Arabidopsis thaliana: one gene and its partners. The protein of the gene in region 3 interacts with the protein of the main gene of each other region in a pairwise test. Each region holds a gene or a part of one and is shown on either strand. Other genes may lie near its edges. The genes, in order: AT4G15545, AT3G20260, AT4G35110 and AT5G65400.

The links.
Region 1: the proteins of AT4G35110 (region 3) and AT4G15545 interact in a two-hybrid assay, tested with the Arabidopsis thaliana proteins (one large-scale study listed by BioGRID).
Region 2: the proteins of AT4G35110 (region 3) and AT3G20260 interact in a two-hybrid assay, tested with the Arabidopsis thaliana proteins (one large-scale study listed by BioGRID).
Region 4: the proteins of AT4G35110 (region 3) and AT5G65400 interact in a two-hybrid assay, tested with the Arabidopsis thaliana proteins (one large-scale study listed by BioGRID).

The regions. Positions count from the first base shown.
Region 1 is NC_003075.7:8,873,589-8,878,447, reverse strand, and holds AT4G15545 (PH-response transcription factor), read right to left. Parts: upstream 2,793-4,859; 5' UTR 2,517-2,792; coding exon 2,205-2,516; intron 2,118-2,204; coding exon 2,049-2,117; intron 1,949-2,048; coding exon 1,895-1,948; intron 1,806-1,894; coding exon 1,766-1,805; intron 1,680-1,765; coding exon 1,581-1,679; intron 1,499-1,580; coding exon 1,274-1,498; intron 1,192-1,273; coding exon 1,070-1,191; intron 974-1,069; coding exon 881-973; 3' UTR 649-880; downstream 1-648. Other genes in the region: IAGLU (indole-3-acetate beta-D-glucosyltransferase), read left to right, coding at 1-571; UMAMIT38 (EamA-like transporter family), read right to left, coding at 3,262-3,397, 3,624-3,775, 3,843-4,001, 4,100-4,310, 4,515-4,628, 4,704-4,769, 4,849-4,859.
Region 2 is NC_003074.8:7,063,080-7,068,439, reverse strand, and holds AT3G20260 (DUF1666 family protein (DUF1666)), read left to right. Parts: upstream 1-1,710; 5' UTR 1,711-2,688; coding exon 2,689-3,124; intron 3,125-3,208; coding exon 3,209-3,625; intron 3,626-3,713; coding exon 3,714-3,928; intron 3,929-4,004; coding exon 4,005-4,250; 3' UTR 4,251-4,530; downstream 4,531-5,360. Other genes in the region: AT3G20270 (lipid-binding serum glycoprotein family protein), read right to left, coding at 1-76, 159-310, 402-661.
Region 3 is NC_003075.7:16,711,715-16,716,565, forward strand, and holds AT4G35110 (phospholipase-like protein (PEARLI 4) family protein), read right to left. Parts: upstream 3,078-4,851; 5' UTR 2,603-3,077; coding exon of another isoform or gene 2,589-2,602; 5' UTR 2,512-2,588; coding exon 2,489-2,511; exon of another isoform or gene 2,296-2,488; coding exon 2,150-2,295; intron 2,070-2,149; coding exon 1,774-2,069; intron 1,687-1,773; coding exon 946-1,686; 3' UTR 701-945; downstream 1-700.
Region 4 is NC_003076.8:26,129,466-26,134,008, reverse strand, and holds AT5G65400 (alpha/beta-Hydrolases superfamily protein), read right to left. Parts: upstream 2,727-4,543; 5' UTR 2,616-2,726; coding exon 2,283-2,615; intron 2,125-2,282; coding exon 2,026-2,124; intron 1,929-2,025; coding exon 1,887-1,928; intron 1,658-1,886; coding exon 1,513-1,657; intron 1,269-1,512; coding exon 1,167-1,268; intron 1,039-1,166; coding exon 947-1,038; 3' UTR 709-946; downstream 1-708.

The DNA of each region.
Region 1 (4,859 bases), 7.8 Mb from region 3:
CGGGACGCTTGCCGTGTTGAGCAAGAAACAGCTTGTGGAGCTTTGTAAAGCGTTGATACAAAGTCGGAGACCATTCTTGTGGGTGATTACGGATAAGTCGTACAGAAATAAAGAAGATGAGCAAGAGAAGGAAGAAGATTGCATAAGTAGTTTCAGAGAAGAGCTCGATGAGATAGGAATGGTGGTTTCATGGTGTGATCAGTTTAGGGTTTTGAATCATAGATCGATAGGTTGTTTCGTGACGCATTGCGGGTGGAACTCTACGCTGGAGAGCTTGGTTTCAGGAGTTCCGGTGGTGGCGTTTCCGCAATGGAATGATCAGATGATGAACGCGAAGCTTTTAGAAGATTGTTGGAAAACAGGTGTAAGAGTGATGGAGAAGAAGGAAGAAGAAGGAGTTGTGGTGGTGGATAGTGAGGAGATACGGCGGTGCATTGAGGAAGTTATGGAAGACAAGGCGGAGGAGTTTAGAGGAAATGCCACGAGGTGGAAGGATTTAGCGGCGGAGGCTGTGAGAGAAGGAGGCTCTTCCTTTAATCATCTCAAAGCTTTTGTCGATGAGCACATGTGATTTTGGTATCAGAAATTATAACAACACTCCGCTTTTCTGTTCTTCCTTGCTCTGTTTCAATGTTTACACAATACAGTAGACAGTATTTTGGATGTTGATTGGTTAGTTTTGAAGATGATGAAATGTAATTTATTCAAGAAGAGAGAGATAGATAGATACACGAGAGAGCACAAATGATACAATCAAATTGTCAGTTTTACTTGGTCTTACTTGACAGCCAAGGAAACAAAAGAAATTGAATGTTGCAGACTGATGAATCCTGAGTTTCCGAGTATATAAGTTCTTTGTGTAACTGAAGAAGCCAAACTCTTAGTGAGCGTTGCGTGTGATCAAGCCCTCGAATATGACGTAGAGATCTCTGTTATCGCCTCCAAATATCTCTTCAGCTTTCCTAAGTGTTTCCTAGAAAACAAAGAAGAAAAGACATTGCAGGTCGAATCAGAATCCAAGTTTTGAATCGAAAGAGGGTAAAGATGATTGAGAGAGGATTCTCCTTACTTCTCTTGTTTGCTTGTGGGCGTTAAGATCCTTCACATTTCCAAGAAATGCACCAAATTGCTCGTAAGATAATCGGCTCCTGACTTGTCGAAAGAACTCTTTTCCATCAACCCGAGTTCTCGCTGAAAACGAAGATAACAAACAAACCGTAAATAAAGGTGTTGTTCCAAAACCCGCCACAAGAAAATCTTGGTTTGAACTTACCAGTTTGTGAACCAGGCTCTGAGATTGAAATAGAAGATCTAGTATCATCAAACATGCCTCTAGTGGTAGCGAACGATACAGAATGGCGTCGAGGAGAGATAGGTCTCGAAGTTGTTTTCGGTGTACCAGAAGCAGATAAGATTGGTGGAGAACCAGGAGGAGTAAGCCGTGGCGTAGTAGTTTGTGATACTAACGGAAGACTAGCTGATAAACTTGGTTTAGGAGCTACGATATAACACAAAACAAACTAACGCATTAAACACAAAAGGTTAGTGGCTTAAGCGTTGAGAGCAAGCAAGTACTATACCATCGTTTTCGTTGTCAGTTGCAGCTGGTTCAATGGCTTCAGAAGCTTGTTGAGATTGGATTGATGAATGTCTTGAAGGTTGAAATGGAGTATCATCATCTGAAAATGACAATAAACCACAATAAGAACCATCCATTTTGGTATATGAACACAAGTTTTCACTAAAATCTTCACAAGAACTATACCGTTTGGTGTCGGCTTAGCGATGATTTGCGTTGTTCCTGCCTGTTACAAAACCAAACACAATCAATTCAAGATCATGAATTTGTTACTTCAAAGCAAATTAGAGAACATGAAGAGTATAAGTTTCATACATTTTGGTCATCATCTTGAAGAGACATCATAAGCGTCTTCCTAAAACCCTCAAGCTGCACACAAATTTAGAAACAAAAACCCTAAAATCTCAGCTACTTCCAAATTTAGAAACAAAGAGACCTGACGTCAAATTTGAAACAGAGTCAAAATTACCTTTGAGACATCTCTCTGAAGTCTCTTGACAGTATTAGACAAAGAAGCATTTTCTCTTATCAGATTCTCCTGGAAGAAGATAATTAGATCAAAATCAGTAAAAATGAATCGGGTCAAAACAGAACAAATAAAGTCAAAAACCGGGTCGGGTCGGACCTTTTCACCATCAGCGAGAGAAAGCTTATGAAACGCATCGGAAAGAGAAGCCTCGAGAGACTCAACGTGAGACTGGAGTTCTTCAAATTCTTTTTCTTTCTCGGCGAGAAGTTCCCGGAGATCCGACGACTCTGATTCGAGAGCTGAGACACGTGTCGAGAGAGCAATGGATGTGATTTTGCGAGCTACATCTAGCTGCTCGAATGGATCGGACGGTAGAACTTGAAGAAGTTCATCGGGAAGATCGAAACTTCTCGAACCTGTAATTGCACTTGCTGATCCTTCTTCTTCTTCTTCTTCTATCTCTGACATTTCTCGTTTTCTGTGTTTTTTTTGTACCTTATGAGTTCATATACGGTTACGGTATAACCCGGTATTAGTATTAAACCGAAATTTGAGTCTAAACCAAACAATTTCTTGATTTTACATATCAATATTCATCGATTGAGACTGTATTATTACAAAAAGCTTCATTATGTCAACGCTAAATTCTATTGTGTTATGGGAAATACAATTCCGGTTTGGGATTGATACCGGTTCGGTTATGTAATGTTGATATGATTGAATTGATAGACGTGAATGTGTGTGGATAAAGAGAAATGTGGTCACGTATGGTTTGTCTTTTTGTGTGAAGTGATATGACATAATGTGTGGTATTGAATTGGGTAAGCCAAGTTTTTGTTCTATGAATGGATAGGACTATAATTCATTGGACACATAAGAGGAGACAAATACATTGTATCCAATTCCAAACGTCAAACTGGATACAAAACCGGATTCAAATTGCAAACAAACCGAAAATCCGGACATAGCTGGATTTTACCCCCTAGAAAAGTAAATAAATTCCTTATACTATAAGAAATATTATCATTTTCTCAACAAATAAGTATATCATTTTTCACATTTCAATGTATCATGTTAGATTTTTTTTGTACAAGTCATAAGATCTTACAACTTACAAGATAAATAGGGATCATCATCATCTAATGGGACCATAATTATGAATAAAATAAGAAAACGATTACACTTGTCTCCAACATATTTTCATGACAAGGTTTCAATCTTCTTCTCTGTCGTGTGAAGGCAATAAAAGTGATTGCTCAGAATCACTTACTGTTTTGGTTGAATCCTCTCTTGCTTTGCCCCAAATCACAGTGTAAAACCCAAAGCTCAATATCACTGATCCAATCACACTGCCCACAACACATAGATGCAAATTTATATGTACCAATCATGTAAATCTTATTACCTAACAACCGAAAATCTATATCGATTGTTAGTTGTTACTGTCTTCACATTTTATTATTCATTATGTATTTGAAGATGAAACTAAACATTTCAAACACCTAGAACTAAGTTATCATCACTATGTTTCTTTAAGAAAGAGACATTATAAAGTTGAAGGTAATAAGATGGTACCTCCCAAGATGAAGTGTGTCGCCGAGGAATATAGCAGCCATGGCGACTGCAATTGCGATAGACAGCGGCTTGAACAAGGATATGTAGACTGGACCCTTCACATGGAGACCCCATGTGTGGATAACTGAGCCCAATGATGTATCAAAGAGTCCCTGAAACAGAGTATTAGTTTCTGAGCTAAAGATTTGATTTCTCAACTTATGAGGTTTGATTACTTACCGAGTATATGACTGAAGCGAGGGAGAAACCTGGTTTAAGCTGCCAAGAATTCAAGTCTTTTTCTACAAGTAGACATACTGTCCCTGAGATTAGAGTTGCGCATAAGTTGTAGCAGAAGACTACGGCTATTTCTTCAGGGTATATCTCCATGATATGAGTCTAAAATCATGTGGAAGTGACAAATTTAGCTCAATCTTATGCGTCACCAACAAATCCAAAAATCTCTTTCATGAATCTGTTCCAAGTGTATGTACTACCTGAAGAATAAACCAGACTGAAAGAAGCAAAAACTGCAGACCGAGCAAAAGGCCTCCAATTATCCAACTTGACTCGAATGAAGTAAACGATGCAGCAACAAGAAGTTTTGGGCCTTTATACAGAACAATAACCAGAGCACCAGATATAGAAACTATTGTGCCAATGATTTTAGCCTGAGTTGCAGAGCTTCTTAACATTACTTGTTCCATCCTTTAAGTCACCCAAGGAAGCAGAACAAGTCATCAAAGTTAGAGTTACAAACAAACCTCATATCTATCCAACATTTCTCATACTTATACAACTACTCCATAATTCACAGACAAAAATATCATTTCATATTGACTGTTACTGTGTGAAAATCATATCTTTTGTATGGTTAAGATTGGAATCACCCGGTTTAGGAGAAAGTGGAACCTGAAGAAGATGGCAAGGATGAAGGTGAAAGCTGGTGTAAGATTGCTGATAGCAGAGGAAAGAGTTGGGGAACTATATTCTATACCTTTACAACCAGCTACCCGCGACGTGAGCCTGTTATTCACCCCCAAGTTAGCGATAAACAACCCGAAAATGCTCATAAATCTAGAAACATGAAGATATAATTACCCGAGAAGCGCAAGTAAGAAAATCTTGAAGAAAAGAGAAGACTTGGCTGTAGGCAAACTTCTCGACCTGCATATTCAACAACAAGTAAGTTTCATATTCTTTAAAACTTAGCAAGAGTCATAGTTGCTTCGAGAAGATCAAGTACCTTCCAAAGAT
Region 2 (5,360 bases), on a different chromosome or scaffold from region 3:
TCAAGAAGAGCCAGCCAAATCTTTGTTGCAAGCTCACCAGCTTCTTCTTTCGATTGGCCACAAACAATCAATTGGTCTGCCACCAGAATATAAGATGAATGCCGTCATTAGCAATGATTCATTAAGCAGAGTCAAATGCATATACCAAACTAGCTTACCGATAAGGGTTCCATGCAAAATGCCTGAAGCAGGCATAGTGGAAAGTTGAAGCTGATCATTCAAGAACACGTAAATATGTCCAAGCATCTCATCTATGTCTGTATCATCCACACCTAATATGTTTCTGCTGATGTATAAAGCCACATATCTCCTGCAGCTAAAAGGCTGTTAAGTTCCTTGAATCTAACTAAGACATTATTAAGCTAGCTTTTTTCATAGAAATCAAGTGTGTTTCCAGTCACCGTTTGCTTAATCCTTGACGAATTGGTCCAATCCAGCTCTTAGTTTTGCTAGCAAGTGGATACGCCCGATTAAGAGCAGCCAGCCATAAGCATTCTCCGCGGAATAAATTAGCCCACTGCTTTCTAACACACGATACTTGTTCCCAATTTGTTATTGGAATTCTGATAAATATCTCTATCAAGAGATCCTCTGTAAGCTTTCCAAATGGACTATCATCTTTCATTGTCGGAGCAACGTTCTCTTCTTTACTTCGGTTCATTACTATCCTGCAACACATGTTTTACACATAGATCACCAATAATACATAAGCGACATAAAAGCAACATCAGTCACACTAAATTATTCCATCGAAATCAAACAGAACATTATTGAATAGCACTCATTTAGTAGCTTTTTAAGTATGTTTAAGAGTAACAAACACAACACTAACTTAGAACTTTAAAAAAACATATCTATAAGCCTAAAGCTTATTAAACAAAAACATATTACTTACAGATTCTTAATCCCAGTGAAGCTTCATTCCCATAATCCGGAAACAAGCAAACTAAAAAAAATCAATTGCTTAATGGCAAAGCAAAAAGCATAGAATCAAATGTTCATACGATTTGTAACCAATAAAAGGATAAGCTTTTGTCTACAGTTATAAGATTAAAAAAGTAACAAAATTTGAGTAAAATTCATATGAGAATCCCATTTGATCACTATAGGCTCAAACTCAACAACACAAGTCCCTATATCAACAAGAAAATTCTATTCAGAGGATCATAGCAATCTGATTGATTGGAACCCAAAAAAAATTCTCTTGAAGAAGTCAAAATTTTATAACTAGAAAGAGTAGAAAACGAAACGGCTAAGATGATAACAAGCGTTTCATCAGCTGAAACAGAATTCAAGCAAAAATAGAATCGAATGAGAACTTACAAGAGGTAGTAAGTAATCCCTGAGAAGAAGAACTGGTGTGAGAGACATGCCAAATGAAGCCATGGATCATAACCTCAAGCTCTCCAATTCGGTTTCATCCAATCCACTAGACCGGAATCGTAACCAAAGTAAATTCAAAAACCATACCAATATAACCAAAGTAAAAGACGACGTCGTTTCATAGCAGTATACATAAATTTGGTAAAGAAAAAGCCCATTTTAAGAGAAGCCCAAATTGTCATCAGAAACAAAGATAAGACCCGTAGATGTATGAGACGGAGGAGGGTAAAGATGTAATTTTAAAAGAGAGAAGTGAGCAAATGGAAGGAGAACAGATAGCGCGGCTTTTCTGACAATATTCTCTGTACGATGCTTTTCTTTCTATCTCTCCCCCCACTGACCTACCTACCAGTTGTTACTTGTTACTGCTTCTTCTCCTTTTCATTCATTCATACATCTCTCTCCTTCTCTAATCAAACACCAAAACAAAACCAAAAATTAACCAATAGAAAATGAAGTATCAGAAAAAGTAAAGTAAGAAACCAAACAGTAAAAGACAATTTCGACCCATTAGGAAATAAACAAAAAGTCAAATTGACTCAGAAACCTCTTTGTGAGGGTTTTGACTGCAAATGGAAATTTTTGAGGAAAGGGTTTTAAGAAAGGAAGAAAATTTCTAGTTTTTTTTTGGAATTTGAAATCACAAAGTTTAATTATTGAATTTAATGACATCTGTTTAAGAATCAATAATACTTGCTCTCCTTTCCTCTCTCACATTTATATTGTGCTCTCTCTGTCCATTTACTGAAAAAACTTGAATTGAGACATTATTATACTTTGCTTTCTCTCTCTCTCTCTTGCAAGTGGTTAGAAACATTTCTCCTTCTTTAATCTCCTCCTCCTCCTGTCTTTGTCTTTCGATTTTGTTTTGCTTTTATTTGGGTTTCTCTTTCTTTCTTAAATTTTGAATCTTTTTCTTTCTTTTTGTTTTTTTTCTCACACTCTTTGCTCAGTGTAGTAGTAGTTTCAGTGGAGTGTTGATTTATCAGGGAATGCTAGTGTTCTTATCAGCTAGAGATTAGTGAATCGAATCTAAAGTTTCAGACAAATGCTGTTGTTGCTACTGATCTACTTATGCATTCTTAATCTTCTGTCGGTGTTCCTAATTCTCTAGGGTTTGCTCATGATTCTCTGAGATCTTACTAGATTCATGCATTTTCCTCATTCTCTGGTTTGGTTGATTCTTTGATTAAGTTCGTTGTGGCAGAAGAGAAACGCTTTTACTCATGCAAAGAGACTAGTCTCAGTTTAGATCTTATGATTTAACAAAAAACACTCACTCTCCTAAGTGTGTTTGAGGAGGCAATGGATTTCTTGAAAGTTAGAAAATTTCGAAAGTCTCGGAAGCCAAACCTTGAAAAGGAGAAAGAAGACAAGATATTGGCTCAGCAAGAACAGGCAAGGAGTGAGAACACTGAAGCTGGTGTGATAGATTCGGGGAAAGGAGATGAGATCGAAGATGACGATGATGATTTCATTACCAATGAGGTTAAGAGAAGGCTCAAGGAGTTGAGGAGAAACAGTTTCATGGTGTTGATACCTGAGGAAGAAGAAGAAGAAGAAGAGGAATCGTATCTAGATGAAGATGATGATGACGGAGAAGACAAGTGTTCAAGTGAGTGGAGAGATGTGGTTGCTGAAGGACTTCAATGGTGGGGAGGTTTTGATGCTGTCTATGAAAAGTATTGCGAGCGTATGCTCTTCTTTGATCGTTTAAGCTCTCAGCAGCTCAAGGAAACTGGTAAAAGCTTCTTGCTTTGAACTGTTTTTCATTGTGATAGATTGGACTGATCATGGATTTGTTGGTTACTTTTCAATCTCTTAGGCATTGGAATTGCTCCAAGTCCTTCAACTCCATCGCCAAGATCTGCATCTAAGAAGCTGTCATCGCCTTTCCGATGTCTTTCTCTCAAAAAGTTTGATGTTCCGGAGGAAGATATCGAGCATTTGCAGCCGACAGAAGTTGACGACCCTTATCAAGATCTAGAGACGGCCTATGTTGCTCAACTCTGCCTCACTTGGGAGGCACTTCACTGTCAATACACGCAGCTGAGCCACTTAATCTCATGCCAACCCGAAACCCCGACTTGCTACAACCATACTGCCCAACTGTTTCAGCAATTCCTAGTCTTGTTGCAGAGGTATATAGAGAATGAACCGTTTGAGCAAGGCTCAAGATCGGAACTTTATGCTCGTGCTAGAAATGCAATGCCTAAGCTACTTCAAGCTCCTAAGATTCAAGGTGATTTCTCAGCTCTCATACATTGCGCGACTTAAAACCTTATGTGTAGTAGTAACACTTGAAGTTGGTTATGTTCAAAACATATCAGGGTCAGATAAAAAGGAGATGGAGAAAGATACAGGCTTCATGGTCCTCGCTGATGATCTCATCAAAGTCATAGAGAGCTCGATCCTTACTTTCAACGTCTTCTTGAAAATGGATAAGAAGAAACCAAATGGGGGTATTCACTTGTTTGGGAACCACAACAACAACCATGTGAATTCTACAACTCCTTTACTACTGGTTCAGTCATCCATTGATAAGGTACGATTTCTCTGTACTCAAATGTTATTACTATCGTATGCTTCTTTGGTGTCTCATAAGAGAGGAACTTTTGCAGAAAAGGGTGAAAGCAAAGGAGCTTTCAAAGAAGACAAAAGGGCTGAGAAAGAAATCATGGCCTCAAACATGGGAAGGTGTTCAACTCTTGTTTGCAGCCATTGACATCAAACTCGCAACACGGGTTTTGAGGATGTCGAAAATCAGTAAAGAGCAACTTCTATGGTGTGAAGAAAAGATGAAAAAGCTCAACTTTTCAGCTGGGAAGCTTCAAAGACACCCATCTCCAATTCTTTTCCCTTGTTGATATAATAAAGTGATGAACACACAATGATTTCAAATACTGTAGCATCAACTGTTCCCTTTTTATACGATCTTTAAGATCCGGTTTGGGGATTTTTCTTTTGCAGACAAATCAAAGAAGAAATTGTGTGTGTTGTTCCATTTGCTTTCATTCATTCTCTTGGCAATAAGAGTCCAATTCCAAGAACACACTTGGTTTGGTCATAGATTCACTATTAAGGGACCATTTTCATTGTTGTCGTTTGGATTTAGCACATATGAAAGAATCCAATGTTGTCTTGTTGATGGGAAACTAAATCCATGATCATGATCATGATGGTGATAGAAAAGTCTTATTCTTCTATCACTTTCATTGTTTTTGGCCAAAGTCTTTTTATTTCTTTTCCACACTTTCCTATTTAACAAAAATCCTAAGAACTATAACTATAAAACTGTTGAACAGTGTTCAGGTTCTTAAAACAAACAATTAGAATTTCTTAATCCAAAAAGAAGAAGAAACAAAAACAAAAAACTTAAAGTGTGTTTTGGTGGTGGCGTAGTAACAGGCAACAGAGACAATGCCACGTGAACGTATCTCTTTCAACTAGAAGTGTCAACACGTGGCAAACCTAGTCACCAATTTGGAGCCAAAGCTTGAATGACCAAAAAGGGCTTGCTTCACCACCACCGTTAAAGAACATGCTGAGGGGTAGTTTAGTCATTATAAGGAGACGACGACCTCTTCGTGTGCGAATCCGTCGTGATGCTGAATATTGTAATGTTGTTAAAAATGCGATATCGAAAAACTCTTTAAATAAAATTTTGTGTATTAAATTAAAGACTAAAACCTTACAATAATTGCCGAGAAACAAAAAAGTGTTAAGATTAGTCTTGACTTGGTGACTCGACGAAGCCCCTTGAAGCAAACTTTTCAAAGGGTTTAGTTTTAATTTCTCTATCTCTCTTTTTCTCTGGGTCTCTTCTCTCTTCAAACATTTTATTTCAAGCTCTTTGAGAAAACACTTTCATGGAAGCTTGAATATCACCATCAGGTACTTAACTCTGCCTCTTCTTCCCTCTTCCTCTCTGTATCTACTTTTTTTTCTTCTACAAGTCATGCAAGGAACTAGTTTAT
Region 3 (4,851 bases):
TGCTGTCTATTAGTTAAGATCTGAATCTCCAATGAGGTTATTTATAATTACTTACTCACATTGTGCAACAAAACCAAGCACAATTTGTGGTCCACAAACCTTTATCTGGAGGTTTCTGGTTCAACTTCTCCGGTTTACACTTAAATCTTCGTTTCGTGAGCAAACCCAACGGGGAGCTTCCCGTTGGGCCATGTTTCAGTGGGCTCGGTGTAAAGCCGACATGAGTAACTGAAGCCCAGTAGCATTGTCGCAAATAACAGATTGATTTGTCCGTTGCAAACGGTTTAAAAGCAGAGTACGATACTTTGTTACTTTTAAAAATATCAAATCTAACAATTATGTAACAAAATCAACTAGTGAATAACATAAAAACATAAGATATATTTGGCTTTAAAATCCCCTAAAAATCATCGTTATGGAATAACATCTACTTTTCGACAAAAACAAAGTAACAAAAAAATCGAAGAGTAGAGCTCAAATTGAGTGTAATAAAGAATGAACTCAACAAAATTATTCATTCCTTTATTTTGCAAAAGTGTTGTTTTGACATTTTCTATACACATATTTAAAAGAACTATACTATACAATATTCAACAAGTTCTGCTATAACTAACACAATAAATATAGTTGTGAATTTAATTTTTAATAAACAATCTTTCGTTTTCCAAACTCGAAGGCAACTTGTAATCTTTCCCATTATAGAAAACGAAAGAAACCAAAAAAAAAAAAACATAACCAAAGAAAAATGCATCACACAAATCAAAACGTATTTATTAGCAACAACCAAATATCTTAATATTTTTTATAAGTTACCAATAAATACCAGCTTTCCCATAATACTTAAAAACCCTAACCTTAAAAACTCATTTATTAGAGCATTTTTGATTTTGTGCTATTACCTACTACCCTTGGCTTACTACTAACAACATCACACACAACTCAAACTCACAGAAGCTCATCTATAAACGATTTCCCTTTAAATTTCTCCATTTTGAATCCCATTTTCTCCATCCTCAACCGTTCTGCTTCGATCTCAACCATCTGAGCCCGCGTCTCCTCAATCCGCCGCTTCACTTCCACCACTTCCTTCTCCATCCTAACCAAATCCGTTTCTTGAGCCTCAAGCTCTTCTCTCTTAGCCTTCACTAAACCATCATGCCTCTCTTTCTCATTTTCTACATCTTCTTGAGACTGCGCAAACTCTTCAAGAACAGAACGTAGCCAAGCTACTTCAATGTTCACAGACTCCAAGTCTTTGAGAACCGCAAGCATCTCTTTGACCTTGACTTTGCTCAACTGCCCTACCGGGGTTGACCTAAGTTCCTGCATCAGTGAGCATAAACACTCGAGGTAACGTGATCGCATTGAATCCGATTCCAGCTTACAGTTTTGAGCAATGTCTCCGTGCTTTTCGATGACAGCACTTAGTATAGTGGATGAACCCGATCTGACTCGGTATTTCCCGACAGAGACAAAAGTGTCAGACATTACTGATTCGAGATCGAGCTCTACACCAATCTCATTGTTGTTTTCGTCATCATCATCAGAAAAATCATCATTGCTCTCTTTTCCAGGCGATCTTGGAAGGCTTAGGAAACTAAAGAGTCTAGTTTCGCCGCCTTCTCCAATCTTCCCATTGTGTTCTTGTATTCCCGGTTTAGGTGATACCACTTTGCTTTGATCAACCTTCATAAGATACAAGAATCTTGATGTTTACAAATATGGTAAAGATATGGTGGTCGAAATCATGGAAGAGAGTAAAGGATGAGATACCAAATTGTTTGATGAAAGGGGAATGGTTTGAGAAGGTTTCTTCTCTGGTTTATGGTTGAAGAAATCATCCGGATCACCGGATGATGAAGAAGTGAAAGAATTTTTCGTTTCAGAAACAATCTTCTTCTTCACGGAAGCAGGTGGAGCTACAGAATGATGAACCTTTGGGGAATTACCATTTGCAAAACCGCCTCTGCCGTTTTGATAAGGCCTTGCGGATAGCGGTGTAGGCGGTTGTGAATTCGACTCCTTCTTTTTCCTACCGAAACTCCCTGAGAAGCTAAGAAGCCTTGAACCTGTAACATAACAGAACAAGAATCAGAATCCATAAAGGAAAAGTTTTTAAAATGGCAAAATCAAAAGCAGAAAAAAGTACTTTGCTTCTTAGTGTTCTTCTTGACATGGCCTTGAGCAATTTTCTCTAAACAAGCTGAAGCACATTCATGGAAAGGATTATCCGCATATACGCAATCTGGATGAGCTTTTCTATTGAAATCCATAGCTTTTTGATGAATGGAACAACTGCAACAAAATCAAGATAACTAATCAGCTCAAAGAAGACAAACTCAAAGAACAACACAAGAACTTCAAATTTGTGGTGTCAAAGGACTGAACATATCACATTAAGGGTAAGTAAGTGGTCAAACCTTTACACCTTAATTTCAACAAATAGTTCAAAAAGATTAGACACTAAAAACTTATAATATACAACAACCTCCCAACGAAATTGGATTCCATTCATATTTCACCAACCCTTTATATGATGAAAGAAAAAAAGTAAAGAGGGAGATTGTGAGAAGCAGAGAGAGATTCACCAAAACATATCCATAAAGAAATTTCTTACGAGTAATAGTGAAATTGATCCCCACAAAACCAATCAAATCATAAAATGTATAGGTATAGAGAGATACAAAAAGACGACTTTTGGTTTGTTTCTTCTCCTTAATACTTTCATGGACCGACCATGCAATTTCCAAGTACAATTTTCCAGTGAGATACTAAATTTCAACGGTGGAAGCACTCAGTTATTGACTTAGACCAGAGTTAAAAGGTAGATTATTTTGACCGGCTTGTTTTCTTGAACAGACAAAAACTTCCAAGGCCCACCCTTGTGGATAATATTTTTTTAATAGGTTGAAATTTCGTTTTCCATGATTGTCGTTTGTCACAAAATTTCCTTAGAACAGAGCAAAGAAACAGAGCATATGACAATAAAACAGTATCAATCAGTTTCATCATCGATCATTGAATTAATTCTTAAAACAAAAGCAAACCCACGATTCTGATCGAGATCAAGAATCTATTTGTGGATCAAAGAACCAAACTTTTAATTCACACAAAAATGCAATCAATCAACAAACAGAGAAATAAAGAGAAAGAGAGAGAGAGATATACCAGGAGAATCGGAAGAGGGAGAGAAATGTGATGAGCGGAGAAAAATGAATAAAATGTTGATTTTTATTTTTGTTTATAAGGTATAACAGTTGTGTATATTATAAGGTTCATGTGACATTGTCTTTGGTATAATAATAATATGATGATGATGATGAATTGACCAAAGCCAATATTACCAATTGAAGATAGAGAGAAGCATTTAATTGAAAAGAGGTTGGAAACGGCAATCAATCACACACCTCACTTATCTTCCAGAAGTGGACAACAACGTGGGACGGTTATACAAATACGAGTGAGATTTTTAGAGTCGACGAGAATCGAAAGTAGAAATCTGTAACCACTTAAAGGAAAAGAAATTTAAGAGACAAAAATAAAGAAAGAAAGTTGTCAGTTAAAACGCGTTATTGCGTGTCATTGTTTGCATCACACGTGAGGTTCTTAAGAATCTCAAGTTCTTAACCATATTGCTATATCTCTTGTCTAATTTTATGCATAGAAGTTATCTTTTTTTTTGCTGTCCATTATTACTTAACCAATAAAACTTAGACATCTTTCAATTAATAAATATAGATAATATAAAGTTATGTTTACATTGGATCTCTTAGTATTTTTTCTAATTGTTGTTGCAGATAAGTATAAATCAAATCAAATATATAAATATCATTACTTGCGAATAAGTGTTGATACCAAATTTTCTGATAATATTATGGAGATTGCTTAGGTAAAACATATTTTTATGATTCAATCCGAAGGAAGGAAATTTTCTACCCGATTTGTCAAAGTGCATGCATGTTGATCCGATAGGAAACAACATTTATTATAGAATCTGATAAAAGCATCTTTTTGTTATTAATTGTGTCATCTTTCGTAAGTCGTAATTTTAGTATTAGTACAATATAGTTTCGAAATGCGAGTAGCTTATCCAGAAGCGATAAATGACCATTTCCCCAAAAATACTTTCATCCTTTTTTGTTGGGGGTCAGACTTCATATCATGAAGAAGAAGAAGAAGAAATACATAGAGTCAACTCTAGAGCGTTGGCTTTTAAAAAGACATGAAAAGATTTTGTTAATACTATAATGCACATTCTTTAAATAAATCATTTAGCAAACTACTCTAATACGACCATTCTTTTTCATTCATGCAACATGTCTTTTTCTTTCCCTGTTGTTCTCTAATTTTATTTTACTCTTCATTCATTTGTCTTCGTTGGTGTTTCTTTTTTCTCTTTTTTTTTTCCAGAAAATTAGATATTTATGACCAAATCCATATTTTTCTAATAAAAAATAGAAATATTGTCAGTATACCTGCACAATCGTGTGAACGAGTCACCTGAAACATGATAAATTCTTCTTTCCCCTAAAGCTTACTCGTGTCTCCATCAAGAAATCTTCCAAGAAAGAGACTAGTTTAGTGCATTGTTAGAGAAGTCTCAAATCCTATGACTATGAATCATCAAGCAAGTTACATTGTGTAAGTGTATCTTTCTGTCTTTCATTTTTTTTTTGTGTATACATGTACATTTGAAGGTATACCAAAATCAAGGGAGGGATCTTAAAAAAAGTTTGAAAGCAGCATAGAAAAGTTCTTTATACGATAAATCCATAGATTTTCTTATACGAATTTGGTGAGTTCGGTTTAAAAAACTGAACACCGAAATTCCAGTAACACAACATAATGTAT
Region 4 (4,543 bases), on a different chromosome or scaffold from region 3:
GTCTTTGAAATTCAATTTATTGCATATATCTATACATTAATGTTGATACGGTCATCACAATTCACAACTAGACATTCTCACGAGAAATTATTTTCTACCTCTTATTAAAATAGTGGTTTGGTATATCATGAGAACAGGGAAAACAACACAAAAACTAAACCAAACAACTATTTCAAGATATAAGCAAATTGTTGAAAATAGATTATGATGATGATTTGTTAAAAGTGCATGAAAACTAAACAGTTAAAGCTTTGCAAGCGTGAGAATACTTATGATGGGTATACATATAAGTCTGAAATTACACAACCCATGTCGACGTCTACTGTTTATCATATATTTATTTTGAAATGAGGGGTAATCATATGATCTGTAATTCGATATGTTCAATCAATTATTTCATACAAGAATAAAAAAAGAGTTGAAATTTTGTTTTTTTTTTAAGACTAGAAAGCAACCGACAAGGCTAAGTTAATAGGGTATAAGGGGGTAGATTGAAAAAGAAGTAAAACTTTGTTACAAGTGGAACTCATAGATTATCATGAGATCCATTTGACCATTAATACATCTAAAGGACAATAATTTAACTCACCTTCTTTGATGCCCCCCTCCATATTTTTTGTTCTTCCATCATTTTTTTTTTTTGTTGTTAAATTCTCCTAACATTTTTCCTATAACAAAGAAAAAAGTTTGAATAGAGTTTTTGATATTGGCTGCTCATATATTTAAAGGAAGACAATTGTACCAAACTATTTGACCATCTTTGGCTCTTCTCTATAAACTGTAATTACATGAACGGGCAATCCATATTGGTTGGTAAATTTAATAATTTACGTTTATTGAATTGTCCCTGGATAAAGACTAAACCAGAAGAATAATCACATCTCACAATTTTATAAAATTGCAAGATCATCTAATCTAAAGTAAACCATACTGGAGTAGCTCTCAGTCACATCAAGCTTCTTACAGAACCTGATTCATCAGAAAGCATCTGCCTAATGCTCTGGAAGAAACTCAACATTGTCTCCTCAGCTTTAGTATCTGCAGAAGACAAAGATAAGCTCATTAGAGTAAATTAAGAAGAGACAGATCTTATGTTACTTATTTCAATTGCATATTTCTCCAAAAAAAATCAGAGCTTAAATGATCAGCCTTTCATGCTTACTAACCGAGTTTTGGTATAATGTGTCCACCTGAATGATGGATCACCACTGGCTCTACGAATGATTCTACAAGCACTTCACCTTCTATCTTCAGGAAATCCCTCTCACCTGCAGCAAAACCGATACAGAATTACAAACAAGTTGTCTCTTATGTCATATCAAATGTTGTAGGAGAGAATCTCTAACGTTAACATGTAGTGCTGCAGATTAGATTCTAGTCTAAACACTCCCATGCCAATCTTGGCTACACTAAAGGCACACTACTAACGTAAGCTTCAAACAACAGAAACTTGGCATTACAACATAACCGAGAAATCAAGTCAAGAACATGCGCAACGTAGTAACAGTTTACCTATGAAGTGGAGTGATGGGCAACGAACTGGAGATGAGAATGCATTAACAGCAGCTTTAGGCTCCCCAAACATCAACCCTGGAATTTTCGCTCCAGAAATGATAACTAAAAACTTGACTTTTGGCACCTTAGTTAGAGCCGATCCCTACAAAACAGTTTACAACATCACAGACTTACTCAAACTATTAAAACAACATGTTTCATTCTTCAATTCAGATTCAACCTCTCTGTTGCATATAAATGGTTTCAACATCACACACTTGCTCAAAACAGAACAATAGAAAACTACTCTAACAATAGGTTTCATTCTTCAAAATATCATAAGCAGATTCAATCTCAGAACCAGGATTATGATCAGTTATGCAGTTATGTACCTGTTCTTGCATTCCAGGAATAGCTGCAGTTAGAAAAGCTCCCTGCAAGAATGGATCAAGAATCAACGGTCCACGATCCTCCTGCTGATATATATGAAAGTGATCAGTACTAAAATCTCGCCAAAGAATCAAAACAAACCTGAGAAAAACCAAGAAGACCATCAAAAGGTCCATTCTTTATCATGTAGTCCTCTATATAAGCCAAACACTCTTCAAAATTCCTATATTCCTTAAACCCCTGCAAACACACACACACACAAATCAAATTATGTATACAAACTTAGACCAAATCTCTCTGTTTTCTAGAGAAAAAAAACAACCTTTACTCTGATAGTGTTAACAGTGTCAATGATCAATACTGAATTCAAGGAAATTTAGGATTTTGTTGCAACGAACCTTGTTAGCCTGGTACCACTCGTAATACGGTGGGTCAAAGAAACGCTCGACGTCCGATTTCCCGGTGGCCGGAAAAGGAGCGTCAAGGAAATCGAGGTCGAGATCTCGGAGAATTGTGTCCGGCCATTTACCTATACCGGCTTGGAGAATCCGACCACTAGTTCTGAATCCATGAAGGCATAAAATTCTAGGGTTCTTCGGTTTCAGGTGAATTTCCGGCGCCATCGCCGTCGTTAACCGTAATCCCGTTTGGAAACAAGGATAGGAGTATCCTAACATCTGACAAGCTCTAGCTCTCTTCTCAGGTTTCGAATTGTCCTTGTGCCCTAACATATCGCTTGTCGCGAAAGTTTTGGTAGAAAGGCCCAAAACTCTATAGGCCCATAAAGAAGAATCCTTTGAAATCAGTTTCGCAAATATCGGCCCATATCATTGTTTATCTCTTATTACAAATATTTTCCAAACTTTCAAGAGTTACAATTACAAATAGATCAATATATATATAGACAATGAAAATTATGTATGGAGAAGCTTACTCGAAGAAATGAGAGTTTTCCACTAACAAAAAAAACTTGTATATTCATCATAATCTAACTTTTTTTTAGATAATCCAAATCATGCTTTAAATTATGTAAAGTTCAGTTAGAAGTGAATACATGTTGCTCTAAGAGTTACAACAACATAAAGCCAGCACAAAACTCATGCTTTAGCATTCTCTTCCCCTAAATAAATATATGCTTCTTGGCTATATATATTATTAGACACGCATATGGGACATCATGTTTTTTTTTTTTTTTTTTTTTACAATTATCAAGAAAATGGTTTGGAGTCGAGGTGGTCTTTCGGCAATTTTGACTGCAGCCGAAGCCAAAGATAAAGAAATTTCGACATTAAACCTCAACAGTTTTTTCATATGGATTCAAAGCAAACTACTATGTATAGATTCATTTTTAACACTTAATTCATCCTCTAGGAATCCCACACTGATGTAATCAAATCGTATATATTGCAAATGAACTTTATAGCATATGTAACAAAGCAAGTTATAGTGCATATATAACGAACTTGTCGTTATCATCTGAAACAACCTGTAATGATCTTCTCAATTCTTTATATTGATGTTCACACTAATGAAAATAAAGTTGGATGCAAATATTTTGAACTTTTAGTTAGGGATTAATCAATCGAGTCAGTGCAATAAAAATTGTAGGTATAGTGTATAATCGTCGGTTGGTTTCGCATCATATGGGCCTCATAAAATTGCCAACTATAATTCAGTTCATTTTGTCAAATACCGATTATATTTTAATTTAATGATTAATACGAACCTTCTGGATTCACTGTAAAATGACCTTTACAGGCTATCAAATGTCTTCTTCCGTTGTTATGTTATGTTGTAATGTATATGTACCCGTTTTATTTGGGGTTATAATATTTGTATTTATTATTCAACTATATAAAATTCTCTGACAGCTATCTCCAACTCTTGTTACTACTAGCAACAAACACAAGAGATAGTAATGGACAAAAGAAAATAAATAAAACGAAAAACAGCAAATATCCAACGGTAACGACAACAATAAAACCATAACCAGTAATCAAAAATTATCCCGATAGGTCTGCTACGCACATGGGATATACGATAATAACGACATCGTTCTTTCTTGATAGATCTGTATTTTTGTCATTAAGGTTCATCGTATACGGGCAAAGAGATCGTTACTATTTACTATATCAGAAAAAGTATACTATTATTATCGGTGGGTGGATCGATTAGACAGTAAGACAAACATGATACAATATTCAATACTACTTCATTATACGTTTTCTCTCTCCAATTATTATTGACAATCATGATTCGATTTAGCTAAACCAATCCGGTCTTCTAAAACCATTGATGATTTTATACTCAACGGATAGAATTGGTTCTCAACTTCGATTTCTCATCTACTATACTTACCAAATCATTAAAAAATGACAAATTTACAACTAAGAGCTAAAAATTGAGTTAACCTAAAAATCCTACAAAATTATATATATACATATATGCGACTACATTATAGTGATAAAATGATCTATCACTTAATTATGTTTAGTTTTGAAAATGTATTCTCTTATTTACGATAAAACAAGTTGTTAATCACTGATATGTGTGTGTTACTGATCAAATATTTTTGCTATTTTTTTTCACTTAAACGTTTCTGCTATTTGACTACTAAAATGTTATTCCTTCATTTGAATATTAGCTACTAATCATTATT